2 linked regions of the Ovis aries genome follow. The protein of the gene in region 1 purifies or fractionates together with the protein of each later gene. This does not show direct contact. Links are inferred from orthologs where the notes say so. Each region holds a gene or a part of one and is shown on either strand. Other genes may lie near its edges.

Region 1 (3,808 bases):
CCTCATTCACTGGGTGACTTTGGGCAAATTAGTTAACTTCTTTTTCCTTTTGTTTTCCCATCTGTAAAGAGGAATTAAACACAGCATTTACTTCATGGGGCCAGTCTGAGAATTAAAGGATTTAAAATACATGCTTAGTGTCTAGCATAAGGTAATGTTTAATGAGTAATAGTTATGATTATAAGAACCAAGTATATACATTCCCCCTAGCCTCAGCCTTTCATTCATTCACTTGTTCTTTTCCCATTCATCCAGGAACTATTTATTGGACACCTAACATGATGTAGTCAATATCTCTGGTTTGTGCTCATTTATGACTTCCATTCATCAGATGTTTTAAACGTGATCTCATAAGCTAACCTAAAGCCTTTTCAAATGAGATGATATACAATAATAAACAAGCAAGTCAGAGATACCAACTGTTTACTGTCACTGGGTCCCTTGTTTCTCCGAAACTGAATGTATTTTTAAAACTATTTTAGCTTTCTGTTTATTCAGATTTTGAATAAGTGGCCATTTACTATGCTTGCGTGTATGGGCATCTGATGGGCGCTGGATGGGGAACATTTCTTTGAAAGTTCTGTTGAAACACTGATCTTACGTCAGTCTTTCACCCCAACTCTGTGCACACCGCCCAAAGTGAGTCTCTAGAACGATGTCTTGACTACAGCAGAACTGCCATCCATTCATTTATCCATTAACATTCAATCACTCATTTTTTTAAAATGAGGCGTGTGTGTGTGTGTGTGTGTACCAGGCACGCCATGATCAGTCAGAGTTTAGCACAGTGACAAAGACATTCTTTTCTCTGTATTAGTTTCCAGTTCAACAGGGCAGATAGTCAAGTAAACAGACTCTCAGCACACAGTGTGAGGAGAGCCAGGATGGGAGAAATGCAGAGTGCTAAAGCAGCACACTGGGCATATCCAATCCAGAAAAAATGACTCCTTTCCTTCAAGAAAACCCCTAGATCACACACTACGTATGTATCAGATGTCTGAGCTGAAAGGGGAGGAAGGGTGCTCCCAGCACTATGAGGGCCTGCTTGGGAATCAAGGGAGTGGAGAGACCTACCGGTCCAGGGCACCACTGGTGGGCATGCTGCGTGCGAAGCCACGGACCCCAGTTTGCTGGAAGTATGGAATGCTGAAGATGTTGGCAGCAATGACAGCCACAGAGTCTGAAGGGTTCACGAAGAACCCGTGCTTGCCCAGAATCATGTTCCGATCCTTTGGGAGAAGGGGAATTCAAAGGGAGATCTTTTAATCAAAGTGCTGAAGAAACCGAACGATCTTACATGGAGGTTTTGTAAAATTTAAAGCTGATACATTTATTCATACCGGGTTCTACACACTGGACTTTATTCCTAATTGATCTGTACAGCACCACTAGGCCAATGGCACCTCCGTGCCAAAGAGCTAAAACTGTTTTGAGTTAAAGTGCAAACTCCTTCCAGGCTGAATTCTCTGTTCTCCCTCCAGAGGCCAGCTGAATGTAACCTCCCTGACCTTCTCCAAACTCTGGAACCAATCACCTCTCTTCTCTCCCAGAAGACAGCAGAGATCACAGAGAGAGGAAATGTGGGCTGTTTAAAGCTTGCTAGGTCTACCAGGCATTCTCCAAGGAAAAAGCAGATTTCCTCAAGGAAAGGCTCCTAAATCTTGGCACCTCCATTTGGTGCAGGACCCAACAAAATATGCTGTCACCTCACTGTTCTCCTGGTGCCTGATATACAGGAAGCGCTCAAGTAACTGAGAGTAAAGAGGAAACCCAGGATGCACTGCAACAGAAAGACACACTGAAAATAATGTCTGCTTGTGCATTTGTTTAGTGACTAAGTCGTGTCTGACTCTTTTGAGACACCATGGACTGTAGCCCACCAGGCTCCTCTGTCCATGGGATGTTCCAGGCAAGAATACTAGAGAGGGTTGCCATTCCCTTCTCCAGGGGATCTTCCCTACTCAGGGATTGAACCTGCATCTCCTACACTGGCAGGTGGATTCTTTACCAACTGAGCCACCAGGGAATGTCCCAATCTCTGCTATTTAATTTCTCAAAATATTAACATTGAAAAAGCTATTTTATAGGAAACAATGAATTCCAGCTGATGTTAAAGAACAATAGCAACCACCAAAATATATTTTTAACCAAGTAAATATGTGTAATGTTTACTATCTCTAAGACACTGTCCCTCCTTGTCTGTTACATACTCACCAATGCAAATAAAAGAGCATGTTTATTTCAAATATTAACTGTAGCTAAAGAATAAACTGTTAATTCTCTCATTATAGTTTCATCTTTCAGCTAATGTGAATGAACAGATGGGTATATCATAAGACCAAAACCCTTTCCAGAGATTGAACAAGGATCCAGCTGCTGGCTAAGAGCAAAAATCTACCTAAGGATGGAGATCGAGAACCCAGTCAGCTCATGGAGCACCAGTCAAGACATGATAACCAGGCCCCAATCACCCTGCCCTTCTCAGCAAACACTAGACACATGGTTCTACTTCAAGTCATCCTGTCAAGAGGGTCTTCTAATAATTGAGCCCCGACTCCAGGTGCAATGAGGGAGCTTGACTGCACTCCAGGCTGCAGGGCCTGCTTTCCCCCACTGAGCACATTAGGCCTGGCCTGCATCAGAGTCCACGTAAATGCACTTGCACCCACCCCATCTCCATCAAAGGCAGCCCCAAAATCATGCTCCCCTGTCTTCATAGTCTCCACCAGGTCAGCTGCGTAGGTGAGGTTGGGGTCAGGGTGGTGGCCTCCGAAGTCCTCCAGGGGAACGCAGTTCACTGCCGAGTTCGCAGGGGCGCCGAGTTCTTCACAGAGGATTTTTTTCACATATGGTCCCACGACTATGCAGAACATGAAATGAAGAACCAGAAATGAAACTGATCACAGAAGGTGAGGACTGGGGACTAGGTAGAGGCGATCTAGGGAGAATGGCACAAACGGCAGAGAGTGTGCAAACTGTATTCAAGGGCTTGTGGGCAGATGAGTCTGGAGTAGAAAGTTCTACAAGCAGGAATAATGAGGGATTAGGAAAGAGTGGGGGAAGGGAAGGAAGCGAACCTTATGAAGATCCTGCTACACAGGTGCTTCTTAAACATTTTCTCAGTCCTTCAAAATGGCCCATGAGGTGCTACAACTTAGCGCTTTAAGAACCTGGACTCTGGAATCAGAGTGTCTGGGTTCAGATCTCAGCTGTCAATTATTGGCTGTACCATTTTGAGGAAAGTTATTTAAGCTATTTCATCTCTCTGCTGTGCTTCCATCTATGCCAAATGCAAAATGAGGATAATAATAGTAGTTACCTTTACAGGGTAGACGTGAGAATTAAATGAATTAATAGATATGAGGCACTGATAACAAGCAACAGCCCATATTTTATAAAAGCTTGTGTACTATGATTACCACCTCCAATTTAGGGGAAGAAAACGGAGGTTCTGAGAGGAGGCTATTTGCCCAAACTTACACAGATAGATAGCAGGAGTGAGAGCTAGGATTCAGAGTCCTAATCTTTCTCGTCTATCATGCTTTCCAACAAACTGATTAAAAGAATACAGACAAACAAAAACACAGTAACAACATACAACAGGGAAAACCCGTCACATACTTTACAGTGATACATAGTGTTATGATCAAGAACGTTCGTCTCTAAATGCTTTCAACCAAGGAAGGTTCAACACCAATATATGCGACAGAGGTCAGGACAGTATAGAATTCGTGTCTCCCACTGGGGGCATGCTAAGGAGGCTACTGACACACCTCAGGATGAGGACAAGGCAGCCAGAGCTGTGAGG
Region 2 (4,430 bases), on another chromosome or scaffold:
CGTGACATGTGTTACCTTGTGTGGTTAGGCCACTCACGGTGCTAGGCTCTTTTCTCTGTATATCTGCTGCTGTATATCTGGTCCCTGCTTCACAGACTATCCAATCCTCTTATAATTAGAGGGCTTAATTAGTCCCTGGTGACTGATGGGCCCACCTGATGCCAATTCCCTCCTGCAAATGGTCGCCTTCTCCCTCAGGTAGGAAAGACTGCTGCAATGTCCTGCCAGCGTCTGTTTGGCAAGGTGTGGCTCCAGGACCCTTTGTATATGATCCCTGTCAAATAAACCACTGATGTCTCTGTCTCCAGGCTCTTTCTTCAGTTTCGAAGCTAGACAACTACAAGGCTTGTAGGCCTGAGGTGTGCAGCCCAATATACCTGCTGTTTGTAAGTACTGTACATAGGTATCCTCTCAACAAGCCATGAGGCAGGTAAGTACTATTACACCTATTTTACAGATGAGGAAACTGAGGCATGTAGAAGGTTAGGACTTGTCCTTAGTGGGTCACAGAGCTGCGATTTAAACCCAGGCAATCTGGCTCCAGAGCCCGAACTCACCTCTCTCATGGCCTCGGTGCTTGGTGACTATCAAACATGGCCCAGGGCCCATGCAAGTGTTGCCTGCTTAATTAATAATCACAATAGCCCTCAAAGGGAAGTGCTCATCACCCCATCTTGAAGCTGAAGAAACAGCCTTAGGAAGAGGATGTGAACCGACCAAGACGACATTGCTGGTAAGTGACAGAGCTGGGAGTCAGACCCTGTCCACCTGACTGCAATCCCAGTCTCTGCCCATGACCCCACGGTCCCGCATGGCTCCAGCATCTTGGCCCTGACCCCATGCCTGACCTGCTTTCGGCCAGTCAGCAGGTGTCCAGCAAACTGGGTGGCTTTCAACTGTGGGCTTCCTGTGGGAAATTGCACCAAGCATTAAGGAGGTCATTCTGGGATTCAGGCTGCCCTGGTCCAGGCTCCTGTGTCTGCACGATAGGCCAGGCTCAGAGTCCAGTCTGTGTGGCTAAAGACCACTGCCTGGATCATTGCGACCATGATGGAACAGACCTAGAGAAGATGGCCGGCACAGCAGACCCTGGGAATGGGGATGACCCTTGACCACACCCTTCTCCCCCAGCACAGGCAGCGTACTCACAGCTGTAGGCACCTTCACAGGCACCCCTGCACGTTCACACAGGACCTCCCGTGGCTGCCTCTTCACCTATCCCAACCCCTAAGACCGACCGGAGGCTCTGAGGCAGTGAGTACTCAGAGGTAGGCCCTGGTGGTCAAGGGCACGAGCCTGCCACCAGCTCCAGGGCCAGTCTGTTTCCTTAAGGCTTGATCACACAAACGCAGAAGTGCACAAGGCGCACACTCCCCCCGCTCCGGAGCCAATCCACACCCTCGCCCCGCCTGCTCCGGCCCCGCCCCTCCAGAGGCCCCGCCCCCTTCCCGGCCCGCCCGCTCTGGGCCCAATATCCGGCGGCTGCGGGGTCAATGAGGCCAGTGAGACTCATGAAGGTGTTCATCACACGCAGGATTCCCCCCGAGGGCAGCGCCGCGCTCGCCCGGGCCGCAGAGTAAGAGCCCGGCGCCCCCGGACCTCTCCGCGCGCCGAGTCCCCTCCCTCCGGGCGCGCGTTCTGCGGGTGGCGTCGCGGGAAGGGGTTGCGGAGCCGGGGGCACCGCTCCTAGACCTCGGGCAGCCTGTACGTGGGGTGACTCAGCGTCTCCGGGCGGGCCGGGGGGCGGCCTCCCGCCACCCACTTCTTTTTGGTGGGGCGGACACGGCGGTCCGTGGGGCCAGGGAGAACTGCGATCCTGCGCTTGGGCCTTCGCCTAACTTTCGAACCCGTGCCTGGCTGGAACGGTCTTGGAGTTTGGGGAACCTTAGAGAAAGTCCTCAGGGGCCAAGCTTTCTCCAGGCCCATTGCTGTGCCCCTGGGAACCGCAGTTCCCGTGGCACTTGCAGCGAGGGTGGGGTGAAGGCTGGAGCCTTCCCCAGTCGTGGGCGTGGGGAGAGGGGAGACTACTCATGTCACAAGGTCTGAGCGACCTCTGAGGTCTCTTGGACGGGTCAGGGGCCTTGGCAGTCACTGGCCTGGTCCCTTCGTCGGTTAGCAGGGGGCCTCTGGTAGCACTTCTTAAACTGAACTCTGCACCTTACCAGGTGCTTCTTATAAGTAAACTCTTAATTCTTCAACGCTGTGAAATCAGTGCTGTGATTCCCACTTTACAGAGAAACTGGGAGAGGTCAGGTACCTTCACCAAGCTCTATAGGTGGCACAGCTGGGATTAGAAATCTGCTCTGTGGCAGTCTGAGCACTGCGGTATGCAGATTTTCACTTCCCATGTCAGGCGAGGAGAAGGTGGACCCAGCCTTAGAAACAAGTGCTAGGGGAAAATGAAATTTGTTTCTTTTGTTGCCTGCAATCAAACTTTTGCTGAAGACTTGCTGTGTGCTAGGCATTGAGGGGGAGAGGGGAAGGCAAAGACAACAAGAACACTAGTAGCGGCGCTCACACTGCTGCAGCGCTGGGCCACTGTTCAGGAAAGGAGGCTGCGTGCGAGGAGGCCGGCGCCTGGGCCGGGGGTGTTGGAAAGTGCCAGCAGCTCTGTGTCTTGCACATGTAGATTTTCCGTGCGTTTTGGCTGCATTGAATTAAATGTCATGGGCCAGAGGTTGGGCAGCACTGCTGGGAAACATGCCTGGGGCCCACCAGCCACTCTGGAAGCGCCCCTTGAAACTCCTCCCTGTTGAACTGCTTTGGTCTTGTCCATGGCTCAGATGGTAAACAATCCACCTGCGATGCGCGAGACCTGGGTTCGATCTCTGGGTTGGGAAGATCCCGTGGAGGAGGGCATGGCAACCCACTCCAGTATTCTTGTGTGGAGAATCCCCATGGACAGAAGAGCCTGGTGGGCTACAGTCCCTGGGGTCGCAAAGAGTCAGACACGATTGAGCGACTAAGCAGAGCACAGCACATGTACAAAGTCAAGAACAAGGGTTACTCGTTTCACGGACTCACAGGAGAAGATGCACAACCAGACAAGGGGTCCAAGCCCGGCTGCTGCCAGGAGCCCCCTCCTGGCCTTCTCAATAGGCAGCCTGGCCCGGGAGCTCGCAGCCTGTGAGGCCTCCTGTGGGGGTAAAGAAATCTCTTCTTGTGTTGAGCTGAGAATGGTCCCCGTGACTTTCTCCTTTCAGCTTAGGCCCTTTTCAGTCCTTACTGGAGAGCTCTGCTCTGTGACAGCCTTCACCCTTCAGCCACCCTCAGAACAATTCTGAGGCTGCCCCCACCTAATCTTGACTCCCCTCAGCCAGCCCCAGGCAGCTTGAGGCCAGAGCAAGCAGAAAACAATGTTTTCCACTCTGACAGGGTCGGTGGATGTGGCCGGAGAGCTTTGGGGGCCTGTGGGCACCTGAGGGGCTTGCCCACTTCTGAGTGGTCTTCCCTTTGTCTTCAGCTGTGAGGTGGAGCAGTGGGATTCTGATGAGCCCATTCCCAGAGAGGACCTGGAACAGAGAATGGCTGGGGCCCATGGCCTGCTCTGCCTCCTCTCGGACCGCATAGACAAGAAGCTCTTGGACGCTGCAGGTGTGTGTGCTGTGCAGGCCTGGGGAGGGCTCCCGGGGTGTCTTGGCCTGCTGCTGCTGCTTTCCAAGCAGGTCTTTAGTGACTTCAGCGAGCTCTGAGGGCATTCACTGTGGTCCTAGGCCACAGCTCCATGTGGCACACACTGTGCCCCTCTTTGCTGGCTGTGAGTCCCCGGAGGGAGACCTTAAGAGGGCAAAGACCATGGTGTGGAGGAGAGCCAGGGCCCTGGGCCCTTTTCCAGCTCTGTTCAGGCTTGGTTTATGACCTTTAGCAGGGCCCTCCCTTTTCCAGACCCATCTATATATGTGGGAAGGCCTTGAATCCCTTGAGGAAAGATACAAATAATGCTTTTTCTGCCCAATAGGAGCTAATCTCAAAGTCATTAGCACAATGTCTGTGGGTGTTGACCACTTGGCTCTGGATGAAATCAAGAAGCGGTAAGTGCAACTTGGGCTCTGGAATAAAGGGTGACTACCAGAGAGGGAAAAAGAGGAGCTGAGTATCTATTTGTTTTTCCTTCATATCTCTTGACCATTTGGTGAAAATGTAAGGTAGCCAATGATAAAATCTGCCCATGTGTGCACAGGTCAGTTAAGATAAGTCTGAGCAGTCAGAAACAGTGGCTAACAATGTCCAGGTAATATCCTTTCTCATTCATTCTTTTTTTTTTTTTGACCCTCACATCAACCCCTTCAAGTAGAAAAGGCAAGAATTATTATTTCTCTCTTCAGATGAGGAAATTCAGAAAAATTAAGTAATCAGTTACTGGAGCTCCACACATTGGAGCTTGTTCTTCCATCTTATATCCTTCTCAAAACGGGAGATGGTCAAGAGGG

Evidence for each region.
Region 2: the proteins of PGM1 (region 1) and GRHPR fractionate together in Homo sapiens (co-fractionation; 3 studies listed by BioGRID). This does not show direct contact. The link is inferred for Ovis aries from reciprocal best matches to the Homo sapiens genes PGM1 and GRHPR.

What each region holds. Positions count from the first base shown.
Region 1 is NC_056054.1:39,042,680-39,046,487, reverse strand, and holds part of PGM1 (phosphoglucomutase-1), read right to left. Parts: intron 2,861-3,808; coding exon 2,670-2,860; intron 1,230-2,669; coding exon 1,075-1,229; intron 1-1,074. UniProt on the Homo sapiens protein: Catalyzes the reversible isomerization of alpha-D-glucose 1-phosphate to alpha-D-glucose 6-phosphate. The mechanism proceeds via the intermediate compound alpha-D-glucose 1,6-bisphosphate.
Region 2 is NC_056055.1:51,318,337-51,322,766, reverse strand, and holds the start of GRHPR (glyoxylate reductase/hydroxypyruvate reductase), read left to right. Parts: upstream 1-1,470; 5' UTR 1,471-1,493; coding exon 1,494-1,576; exon of another isoform or gene 1,577-1,704; intron 1,705-3,375; exon of another isoform or gene 3,376-3,463; coding exon 3,464-3,594; intron 3,595-3,958; coding exon 3,959-4,031; intron 4,032-4,430. UniProt on the Homo sapiens protein: Enzyme with hydroxy-pyruvate reductase, glyoxylate reductase and D-glycerate dehydrogenase enzymatic activities. Reduces hydroxypyruvate to D-glycerate, glyoxylate to glycolate, oxidizes D-glycerate to hydroxypyruvate.